3 linked regions of the Sus scrofa genome follow. The main gene of each other region encodes a partner of the protein of the gene in region 3 in a complex. Links are inferred from orthologs where the notes say so. Each region holds a gene or a part of one and is shown on either strand. Other genes may lie near its edges.

Region 1 (3,744 bases), on a different chromosome or scaffold from region 3:
GCTTTTGCATTTTAGAATCAGTCCAAGGAGACTGCCTTTGGCATTCTTGAACGCCTGACTTTATCTAGGTACAATTATGCAGAAATTATCTCTCCACTCCACCCCAGAGAAAGGTCCAAAGGTACTTTCTCACCTCCCCCACCTCGTTTAGGTATTTATTTAAATGGCACCTTTCCTGCTGCCTTCCCTGGGTACTGTGTTTAAGACAAGCCATCCTTCAAACACCCTCTCTACTAGACTGTTTTCCCCACAGCATGTGTACCAGCATGTAACAGCTAATATCTTGCTTATCTCTTTTGCATATTGTCTTTCCCACCCCACTAAAATGTAAGCTCACATGATTTTCAGATAGGCACACAATTAATAAAATGTATTAATATTGGAAGTGTATTTGGGGATAGGAGCCGTGATTTTCTCTTCAGCTTCTAGTGACCTGGCCTGGTTTGGATCTTATATGCCAGTGATTGAAGGACCCACATCCCGGGGCTCTCTAACCCACTGTCTGAACAATTCACAGGGTATTGCACACTTGGCCTCACACGTGGCCTCAATCACTTGTCCCCATTCTCCTTCACTCTGCTCCCCTGGAGATGACCCATTCGAATGCCTAGGGACGGAGATGTAACCGCCCTAGTTCCCCCTTTTCTAAGGGAGATAGGGTTTTCCTGCTTTAGGCTGAGGGGATGGGGGAGGATGAAAAAGTCAAGATTCCCACCATGGCCAGGGGAGACAGGGGAGGGTGTTTCTATATATTTTAGGCCTCAGGCCTGTAGCCTGCCCTGGAGGGGGCCGGGGAGCCGTGTGGTGGGACCGCTGCGGGGGGCCCACCAGGAACCTCCAGTGAGCTACCCAAGGCCGGTGCAGAGTGCAAGAGACCCCGCTTCCCCACCTGGCGGCCCCCTCCTCTCTTTGGGAAGCCTGGGGGCGGGGTTTGTTTACTCCTTGCACGCACCGCCGGCTTGGCCAATGCGTGGGGAGAGGCGCCTTACGTCACTCATGCCGAAGGCCAATCGGCGCTCACCGTGCTGCTCCGCCGCCAAAGCTCGCGCGGGGGAAGCGGGGCAGTGGCGGGGCCGGGAAAGGGCGGACGAAGCCGCCAGCGCTCTCTGCTGCAGCCGCCGGAGCTGCTCGGTAAGCGGGGCGCGCCCTGACCCTTCCTCTTTGGGCAGGCTCGAGGTCGCGCGCGCGCGCGGTCGGCGTCCCGGGGCCTCGAACTCCAGGGCCTCCACTGGGCAGGCCGCGGATCGCCCACCCTGCCCCGAGTGTAAATCCACCGGGACCTGGCCGCCGCCAAGCGCCGGCGCCACTGGAGCGGCGGCGCCCGAAGACGCGCCCCAGGCTCGAAGAAGAGCCCTGCGTGGCCGCCTTGTCCTCTGCAACCTAGCGGCGGTAAGGTCCAGGGCGAGGGCGCGGGCTCCGTGCCGAGGGCCTCTGGATTCGGCCCGCCGAGTTCCCGGGCAGGTTTCCCTCCATGAGCCTCCGGCCCCCTTGCAACCTCGGGTCCCATCTGTTTATTCCCACGCGTTCTTCCAGGCCTCGCCGAGTAACCCTTAAGGGTCTGGGGAAGAGTCGGAAACTCGAGACTCCCCTACTACCCCACTCCCCCGTACAAATTGGAGTGAGCCACCGTGCCTGAGTCACGCCTCGTGGAAGAGAGGAAAGGCTGCTTTCTCCTCTCTCGGCATCTTCAGGGGAGAAGGATGGCGTTAAGTCTAGGTTTCCGACTTTTCCTCCTTTCATGACCCATAGGCCTCCATCTCTCTCTATCAGGTGTATTTCAGAGTGCCAAAGCCTTTTGCGATTGGAAGAACCTCATCGCCCCCATAAGGGAACTTTTCTCTAAAGTAGAGGATCACTTTTGGGGCCCAGGCTCCTTTGAGAAATTCCAGAGAGCCAAGGTCTCCTCCCCTCTCCACCTTCCAGAAAAGTATAAAGGTTTTTGTAGGATCTTGTAGAGAGACTATGCAGCCAAGTGGGTGAGCTCTCAGCCTCTGCTACCAGCTGGTATTACCTTGCGTGTGGTCTCTTTCTTCATCTGTAAAAGAGTATCCACCTATTCGGGTTGTTGCCGGGAGTAAATGGACTAATAGGTGGAACCCTTTGGAACAAAGCTCATCTCCTATTAAGTGCTCTGCCCTGAATGAGTTAGGCCTTTAATTGACCACCGTGAATGGTGGTTTGTAAAAGGTCCCTCTATTGATGTTTCTCTTTTTTCTGCTGAAACAGTTAACAGGCTCATCATCCCTTTCTGTATTCACTGCTGAAGCTCCTTTTGAGCCTTTGAATACTTTGAATGCTTTTCTCTTCCTCATTCTATCTCTGAGGATTCAGACTCCCTTCCCACTTCTTTACTCTCTTTTTAGTAAGGCATTCCCTCCCTTCTCCGTTCTCCCCCAAATCTTTGTCTTGTGTTTTTTCATTTGACTTCTATAGCCTCATTCCGCCCCCCCGCCCCCCCACCGGGCCACTTTTCTTTTCTCTTATTGGCTTGTAATCATCTTCACCTAGTTGACATAGTTGAGGTTATTCATCTGTCCTCTGTACAAAATTACATAGAATTTAGTTGATTTGATCTTGCATGTTGCTTTTCCATTTCATTGGTTAGCCTATAATTTAGCTAAGCTTTATCACTATCCTGTTACTGTAATAAATCTTTCATGGCAGTGTCCATTCTCAAGTAGCACCCGGAGAAAAATCAAATGCCTAGACCCCGGATTCTGTCACACTTGTGTGCTGGCTCTCAATGCATTTGTTATTTATTAGAACATCTTGTGCCTGGAACTAGAGTCTAGTCTCATGGCAGACATGGTGTCTGTAGCACTGTTCTGGCAGTACAGTTGCAGTTTCAGCAATATGGCGCTTATATTTAATAAATGCCCAAGGCTTATTAAACTCTTATTTTTGAGTTCTCTTTATTTCTAATTGTTTAATTAAGAGGAGAAAACAATTTTCAAGTGTGTAATACCGTACATTACCATTTTGTGGTCATGTACCTTTCCATCCAACTCTTGGAACTCTGTCCTCCAACTGGCACCTTTACGTTTTTCCCTTGCAGCCAAAATCTTGACTGAGCTATGTCCTCTCAATGCAGCTTGAAATTGGATGTACAAATATGTTTCTCCTTTATGGGAAGGCATTTGCTGATGCAAATTATTCACTAAAACATACCCTAAGGATTCAGAGATGGCTTTTTTGTAATTAGGAATCGAAATGTGAATATACATTTGCTTTGTTGTTTTTTTTTTTTAGCGTGATAGATTGGCTTTGTTTTCTTGCTGTTGTTGTTTTATACAAAATGCATGAGTTAGTTATATTTACATTGACTTTACCATTTTTAAAACCCGTTTAGATATATGAAAGTTTTTAGAACATGGTGGGGAAACAGAGTGAGCTAAAATTAAATTCAAGGCAAAGGGAGTTCCCGTCGTGGCTTAGCGGTAGTAAACTCGACTAGTATCCATGAGGACATGGGTTCCACCCCTGGCCTTGCTCAGAATCCGGCATTGCTGTGAGCTGTGGTATAGTTCGAAGACGCACTCAGATTCAGTGTTGCTGTGGTGTAAGCCGGCAGCTGAAGCTCTGATTTGACCTCCTAACCTGGGAACCTCCATATGCTGTGGGTGGGGCCCTAAAAAGACAAAAAGTAAAAAAATTAAAAAAAAAAACATTCATAGCAAATTTAGTAAAATAGAACCTAGTGCTCTGACTTCTGGTCCATTGTTTCTTAGTTTGTCAAACTTAACA
Region 2 (3,744 bases), on a different chromosome or scaffold from region 3:
AATGTTGCCTGTGGCAAATCTCACCTCAAAATCCAAGTCCTTGCTAGGCTGTGGACAACATAGGAAAAGCTATGTATGAATAGTTGGAAATCACAGGTCTCAGGCAGGCAGCTCCTGTAGCTCTATCTACTGTCTGCCCTTAGGCTGGCTTCAGAGAGGACCTGGTCCCTCCACCTCCACTCCCAGCCCCACCTCTGAGGGCAGAACTGAGTCACACTAAGGTGATTTTGGAGTGGGAACTTAGAACGTTACACCTGTTTTCCTTGGCTTTTATTTTCTGCCACTTGTTTCAGAGGTGTTTAGTCCTTTGCATGTGCTTGGAACAAACCGGGTAGCATTAACTATGTGTCCTTATTCACCGCCAACATAAACACTAACTTGGCTGAGCAAAAGTTAAACTCAAAGTCTCAGCAAGCCAAGAGGACAGCCTAGCTTGTGGAAAATACAGAACCACGGAGTTCCCGTCGTGGCTCAGTGGTTAATGAATCCGACTAGGAACCATGAGGTTGTGGGTTTGATCCCTGGCCTTGCTCAGTGGGTTAAGGATCCGGCGTGGCCGTGAGCTGTGGTGTAGGTCGCAGAGGGGGCTCGGATCTAGCGTTGCTGTGGCTCTGGCGTAGGGCGGCGAAGACCGCTCCGATTAGACCCCCAGCCTGGGAACCTCCATATGCCGCGGGTGCGGCCCCAGAAAAGGCAAAAAGACAAAAAAAAGAAAAGAAAAAAAGAAAATACAGAGCCAAAGCTGGGGAAGATAGCTCAGCAAATGGCTGCTTTGAGGGAAAGCTTAGTGTGCACTTCTAGAAGGAGACTCAAAGTTCACTCACTGACCCTCACCCCTCAAGTCCTTCCTCCTCCTCCCCTCCGCCCACGCCTTTACCTCGGGTTATAGAGTGAAGTAGGGTTGGGGAAGGGAACAATTTGGACGCTCCCAGAGAATGCCAAGAAAGGCGACCAGAAAAGGAGCTTCTGGAGCAGAGAGGTGGTTGGTGCAGAGGTGAAAGGGAAAGACGGTGGGCAGACCTACAGAGGTGAGGGCAGGGACCGGGCACGGCTGGAGGAGGAGAATGGTCTAAAGCCTGAAAGGGGTAGGCTCAAGAATAAAAAGGCCACGGGTAATAGTCCAGGGCTGGATCCAACGCAAGTGGATACCGAGTGAGATGTGGGACAGGGCCGCTCAGGTCCGATGGGAATAGGAGGGTCGGCCAAGGGGGGGTTGGTTCACAAAGCGGATGGAAAGGACTGAATTCCTAGTTTCATGAACCCTTGGCGCCACCCTCACTCGCCTGCAGGATCCGGGCCCGCACTGCCGCCGCAGCCAGCACCGCCGCCATGGTTCTCGGTTGCCTCTTCTCAGCCCCCCACGCCTTTCTGTGAGACTGTCCAGAAACACTACTGCTGCTAGGCCTTGCCCCTCCATCCTGCCGAACCTCTTCATTGGTGGAGAGGACTATTTCCCCTAGCCAATCACACGCCTTAACACTGACTCCACGCCCTCAGTGCCCAGTTCTGGGCGTATGCGATTGGTCAGAAGTGATAGAGCTCTCGCCTCCTCCCGCCTCAACAAATTCTGCTGGCGGAGGTGGGGAAGACGCCCCTGACTTGGATACTCTATATTGAGAGCACGAGGAAGACGCCCCCGAATTCGGAACTCCGATTGGCCACAGGCATGGCCGCAGCCCCACCCACTCACTGAGGAAAGTAAATAGGACTCTGCAAGAATTTTCAGCAGCGCCAGCACATCCACAGCGCGAGGGGGTGTGGCTAGCCCTGGGGGCGGGGCTACGGAAGATTACCCTATGGGGCGGGGAAACGAGACAGGACAGAGGGTTGGGGAATAGGGTTTCTCTCTGGGGGCGTGGCTTATGGACCCTAGCTTTCCCGCCGACGGTTGGCAACGTCACGTGACATGGGTTGGAAGATGGCGTCTCCCACAGACGGTAAGAGCCGGCTTATAGACCCTTCGCTTGCGACCTCCTTCTCTGTTCTCCTGGGAACTTACAGATGCTCAGAGAGAATCTCTCCGTCTGCCCCTCTAACTTACACCTTTTTCGTGGCCTTCTCGCCTTTCCCTTTTACTTTCCCACGGTATGTGGGTGCGTCTTCAGCTCGCTGGTTCTTCACAGAGGCTCCGGAGGTGCCCAGTTTCTTTGCAGTGTGCCAGGCGGATGGAGTAGGGCACCCGATTGGGACCCATTCCGGGCAAAACAAGGAGGGCCTCTCTGGTCCTCCTTTAGCCGCATTTGAGTGAGGCTGAGGGCCAAGGAGGAGATACTGCTGGGGTAAAGGAGGTGTCTCAGTGTAGCTTTCTCTTTCTCAGGGCGCCCCTTTGAAGGTTCGATTCTCTTTGAGCATCTGGAACGATTCTCTCACGCTAGCTAGGGTTGGTGGCAGACCTAATCTCGGGATTGAACCGCAAGGAAAATGTGATTCTCTCCTCCCTCCTCGGATTGGGACCGTTGTTCTGGCAGCAAGGGAAGCAGGAGACCCCTCTTGGTCCCTCTCAGTGAGAGTCCCTAGGAAAATGACAATTGAGCTTTTTAGTGTAGTCATGCACATTCATTCACTCAGCGTCTTTCTTCTATGTTATGTGTTGTTTCCTAAGGCTGAGTGAATGAATGATTTCTGCTTATATGTTGTATAAGAAGCAAGTCATCTGAGGTAGCAATTAAGTGGTTTTGGTATATCCACAGGGTTTTGCGCTCCGTTCTGCTTTAGGGTTAGGGTCTTGCAGTCATTTCTAAGCTCAGTTTTTGCCTCGACAAAATGCTTGCAGTCGTTTCTAAACTCAGTTTTGCATCTCCACGTCCATTTCACTTATACTTAGTTTTCTCTCAAACAAAGGAATTTTGTGTATGGAAGGAATCTTGGAAGTTCATTTCAAGAATGAGGAAGTTGAGGCCTGGAAAGCTATGCTGAGATCCACTATTCGAAAGGCATTATTATTCTAATTGCTTTGGGAGAGGAAAAGATTAATCAAACATGTAATATTTTTTCAGTTTCATTTAAATGTCACCTCCCAAAAAGGCTTTCCCAGAACACTGTATCTGTTTCTGGAGTTGCCTCACTTCACCATTATTCTATCTCAGTACCCTCATCCACAGCATAGTTATTCTGTTAACTTTGCCCCTTTCACACTAGCTTGTAAATTCCAAGACTGTCATGTTCATAGTTGGATCCCAGGGCTTAGCACAGTACCTGGCAGGAAGTAGGTCTTCAATTCACATTTATTGAATGAATGATTAGATATATACATAAATAATGTATTACTTAGTCTTAAGTTTTAACTGAGTGTTAAGTTTTTTGAGCATGGGTACGTACTGCAGAGGAAATTATGGGTGTAAAGAGTCAAAAGAGGAGTTACCATTGTGGCTCAGTGGTTAACGAATCCGACTAGGAACCATGAGGTTGCAGGTCCTATCCCTGGCCTTGCTCAGTGGATTAAGGATCCGGCGTTGCCGTGAGCTGTGGTGTGGGTCGCAGACACGGCTGGGATCCTGAGTTGTTGAGGCTCTGGCGTAGGCTGGCAGCTACAGCTCTGATTAGACCCCTAGCCTGGAAACCTCCATATGCCGCGGGAGCGGCCCAAGAAATGGCAAAAATATAGGAGAAAAAAAAAAAGAGTCAAAAGAGATTCTTCTGCCTGGGTGCTCTCTTGTTAAAATGTGCTTTTTTTTTTTTTGCCTGGAAAAAAAGGACATTTAAAAAGTTAACCAAGGGTATGAGGAGCTACTGTTTAATGGGTAT
Region 3 (3,744 bases):
TAACACCACTCTCCAGGTACCTGCAGCACAATCAAAAACATACAAGGACCTTTAGGTAATCTAACAAAATCAGACTATGGCTGTCAGAAAGTCAGTCAACCCAATTCTCCAGCTCTTTAAACAAAGGGCGAACAAGTCCGGTATTTAAAGGAGAGAGATCTCAGGCCATCTTGAACCGACTTAAAATTTGACTTCTATCAAGTGCACGTTGTCAAGCCATCGTAACTTCCTTCTTAACAATGAAGGTAAAACTTGTGAACCTGGAGCCCCCAGAGCTGATTGGATCATAAAATCCACTGCAACATCTTCCATAACTTTACTCTCTGAATTCACGAAATGGATGGGGGCAGGGAAAAACACGGCTATCGCACATGCCCGACAGCATCTCCACTGTTATCTGCCCAATGGCAGGGGCCAAAGGGTCTTCTACAGATGACAGAGCCATAAAAGAAAGAGGCGAGAGTTGTAGTCATTGCAAAACTGGTGCATGTGCTCAAAAAACGTGAACATCCACAGCCCAACAAGTTACAGACTATGATGTAAGACCCAGAGCTGAAATGCAGAAAATGCCCAACGCGCTGCCTCCCGAAAGAAACATACCACCCCTGAACCTGGGAACATCTTCAAAGCGGCCCCCGCCAGAGAGGGTATTTTAAGTCTTAAATCAGGAAATCATGACAACTGCTAGCGGTTCCTCTAGGCCTCGGCAGCAGCCTCAGGAATAAGAGCCAACTCGAGCCCTCGGAACCCTCAGAGCATCGTGCTGACGGCATTACGAGGCTCCCGAAGCCGTGCCCTCTGCCCTCGTCCTTCCGTGAGCCGCAGCGCGAGTCTCCTCCCGCCCGCCCGCCCCCCCGAATAAAGACCCCGCGCAGAGCCGCCCTCCGCACCCTCCTCTACCTCCGGCGGCCGCCGCTTTCTCCTCCTCCGGCTCCGAGGTGGGGGCTCCCGAAGGTCCCGGGCAGCGCCGAGCCCGGGCGCCGCTGCCGGTGCCTGCGCCCCGCGGCTCCGGGCGGCCGCGTCCGCCCCCGCCTGCCCGCCCCCGAGCGCCACGCGGACCCCGGGGGCCGAGCCGCCAGCGCGGGGGGCGACGCCGCCGCGGCCGCCGCCGCCTCCGGAGTGTCAGCGGCCGGGATTGTATTTCGAAAGATCCGCCATTTTCACCTCGTCATCACCATCGCAGCGCAGCCGCCTCCCCGACAGCCCGCGCCCCGGCCGCCGCCGCCGCCCGCCCCCGCCGGGCCCCCGCCCCGGGCCCCCCCCGCGGAGGCGCACGCCCACATATCCGGGGAAGCCGCCCGGCCGGCCGCCCGCCCCGCAGCGCCGGGCAGAGGCGAGCGCACCCGCAGCCCGCGCCGAGCCCTCTCACCCCGCAGCCGAGGACGCGGCTGCTGCGGGCCCCGCGGCCACGCCGGGGGAAGGCGCGCCCGCTGCGGGCTCCCCGGTCCGGCGGATTTTTGTTTCGAGAGGCAAGAGCCAGGCGGACGGGGGCAGGAGGACAATGAAGAGCCCAAACTCTCTCATCTTCAGGAAAGCAAGTTGAGGGAGGGGAGGACGGGTCGCCTGTTACGCACCGTGTCCACCCTCGACCCCAACAGCAGGATCGAGACCTCTAAGGTCACTCACCAACGCTGACATCTTCCTCCCCCGTCAGCACCACTTTGACAGAAGGGGCTCTTTCCACCTGCACGTCCCACCTCTGACACCTCTGTCCATGACCAGCACGGCTTCTCCTGCAGATACTGTGGTCAAAACGTCTAGTGTTTACAGTAACGTTCTCAACTGTTTTCCACTCAATTTCTCTGATCATCAACACTGACCATAAACTCTGGGGCTTCCAGTGTGTCATTGGCTTAAGACGTCAAAGTGCAACTAGATTTACAAGGCATTGACCCTAGTCATGAGTGAACAGTTTCTAAAATAGAGAAAACATACCTCTAAGCGGAAATGCTTTGCCAAACGCTTTTAAGGATCTAAGTCACCGAATAATTGAAAAAAAAAAAAATCTGCCGCTGACATTCATTTGATACAGTGAAAATAAGCAGCTTGCTTTAGAATAAGACCCCGGAGTTACCTACCCAGCCCCATCAGCTCCACCATTGTGCAGTTTAATGAATAACGAAAAGAAAATACAGATTATTTTAATTATCAAAGACATAACAAGAAAACCTAAGCTGCAAGCTTCTGACGGGATCAGAATTAAAAAAAAAAAAAACACGTAAATTAGCTGCCTTTATTGATTTCAGGTTTGATAACCACCCATCCAAAAGCTGGATTCTATACCTACCATTCGACTACAGCATAAGACCTGTCTGAAATGAGCAAACGGAATGTACAGATTTCGAACAGAGCCACTCGACTGTCTTTCTTCAAAGTTAGTTTAAGAAGAGAGAGTAAGAAACTGAAAAAGCCATTTCACTTCCTTACCTTGCTTGAATGACAATTCCACATAAAAGACGGCAGCTTCAGGCTTAAACAAGTGCTATCTATCAATCGGCCCAGTCGTCGTTTCTCTATGCAGCCTGCTAGACGCCAGGAGTATCGAGCCTGCCCAGCTTCTTCATCTTTAAACTTTATTTCCCCTCCGCCAGCCCCATCCATCCGCACTCTGCTTGGTGTTTACCGTTGCTTGGCCAGGCTAAGCCCTGGCCCGCTCCCTTCCCCGTGCACCTCGGGAACATTATGACATTTGGCTGGTGGGCTTCGCGAGGAAAACGGACACACACGAAGACACCATACAAAGGGGCGTAGGAAGAACCGGGCGGCGGGCAGTAGGGAAAGGAAGGGCTGCTACGAAATGACACAGCAGCAAAACCGGTTCCCAGAAACCCGGGGCCGACACGGCGGCTCCTCGGGCCGCGCCGTGTGCGTGTCAACAGCCACGGGAGCCCTCCCTCCAGACCGCCCAGAAGGACAGGCTGCCGGCGGAGCGGCGGCCCAGCCGGGTGACAGCCGCCCTCCCGAGGGCCGGCGGGAAGGGCCCGAGCCGGGAGGCTCCTCCCGCCCCCTGCGGCCCGGGGATGGGGCGCGGCGGCCCCCAGACTGCAGGTTCCCGCTCTCCGCCACGACCCACTAGCCGGGCTCCCGGAGAGGGCGGTCCGGCGCCCTCCGCCCGCGCCTCCACCCGCAGCGCCCCCTTTCCCGCCGGCCCGCCCAGAAGCCCCCACCCCGGGGGCTGACACTCACCAAAGCCGGCGGCGCCGCCGCCTCCTCCTCGCGCCGCGCTCCCTGGGCTCCCAGCAGCCGCGGCGGCGGCGGCGCCTCCGAGACACAGACCCGGGTTTGTTCAAAATCACGCGCCCAGCGCCATTCCACCGCCGCATCCCATAATACGCCGGGCCCTCCCCGCCCGCGCGCCCCTCTCCGCCCGCCCCTCCGCTCCGCCCGCCCCGCCTCCCGGCCGGCTTCCTTCGCCCCGCCCCTTCCGCGGCGCCTTGCCCCGCCCCTTGGCAACCCGAGCGAGCGTCATCCCGCAAGGCGCCGGCAGGACGCTCCTGCTCCACGTGACCCGGAGTGGGCGCCCGGTCCAAGCTTTCGCACGGAATGTTCCATCCGGCTGAGACTGGGAGGGGGAAGAGCGGGATCGCGCCTGCAGTTGGGAGGTTGGAAGGGACCGCGCTACCGTCTCGCTTTCCTTGTTAGGAAGTCTCTGCTGTGGGTGCAGTTTCCAGCATCTTGCCGCTGTTTGATGTACTTGGGTGGGGAGTGATCAGTAATCACAGATGCCAAATCTTTTCGTTTTTT

What was found. The genes of interacting proteins can lie anywhere in the genome.
Region 1: LIN54 (region 3) and TFDP2 share a complex: the UniProt entries of both Homo sapiens proteins name them as parts of the DREAM complex. The link is inferred for Sus scrofa from reciprocal best matches to the Homo sapiens genes LIN54 and TFDP2.
Region 2: LIN54 (region 3) and LIN52 share a complex: the UniProt entries of both Homo sapiens proteins name them as parts of the DREAM complex. The link is inferred for Sus scrofa from reciprocal best matches to the Homo sapiens genes LIN54 and LIN52.

What each region holds. Positions count from the first base shown.
Region 1 is NC_010455.5:82,935,001-82,938,744, reverse strand, and holds the start of TFDP2 (transcription factor Dp-2), read left to right. Parts: upstream 1-954; 5' UTR 955-966; coding exon 967-1,131; exon of another isoform or gene 1,132-1,389; intron 1,390-3,744. UniProt on the Homo sapiens protein: Can stimulate E2F-dependent transcription.
Region 2 is NC_010449.5:97,380,451-97,384,194, forward strand, and holds the start of LIN52 (protein lin-52 homolog), read left to right. Parts: upstream 1-1,569; 5' UTR 1,570-1,906; coding exon 1,907-1,937; intron 1,938-3,744. Other genes in the region: ALDH6A1 (methylmalonate-semialdehyde dehydrogenase [acylating], mitochondrial), read right to left, coding at 1,284-1,331.
Region 3 is NC_010450.4:135,330,520-135,334,263, reverse strand, and holds the start of LIN54 (protein lin-54 homolog), read right to left. Parts: upstream 2,381-3,744; 5' UTR 1,850-2,380; coding exon 1,627-1,849; intron 1,212-1,626; exon of another isoform or gene 901-1,211; intron 809-900; exon of another isoform or gene 601-808; intron 1-600. UniProt on the Homo sapiens protein: Component of the DREAM complex, a multiprotein complex that can both act as a transcription activator or repressor depending on the context. In G0 phase, the complex binds to more than 800 promoters and is required for repression of E2F target genes.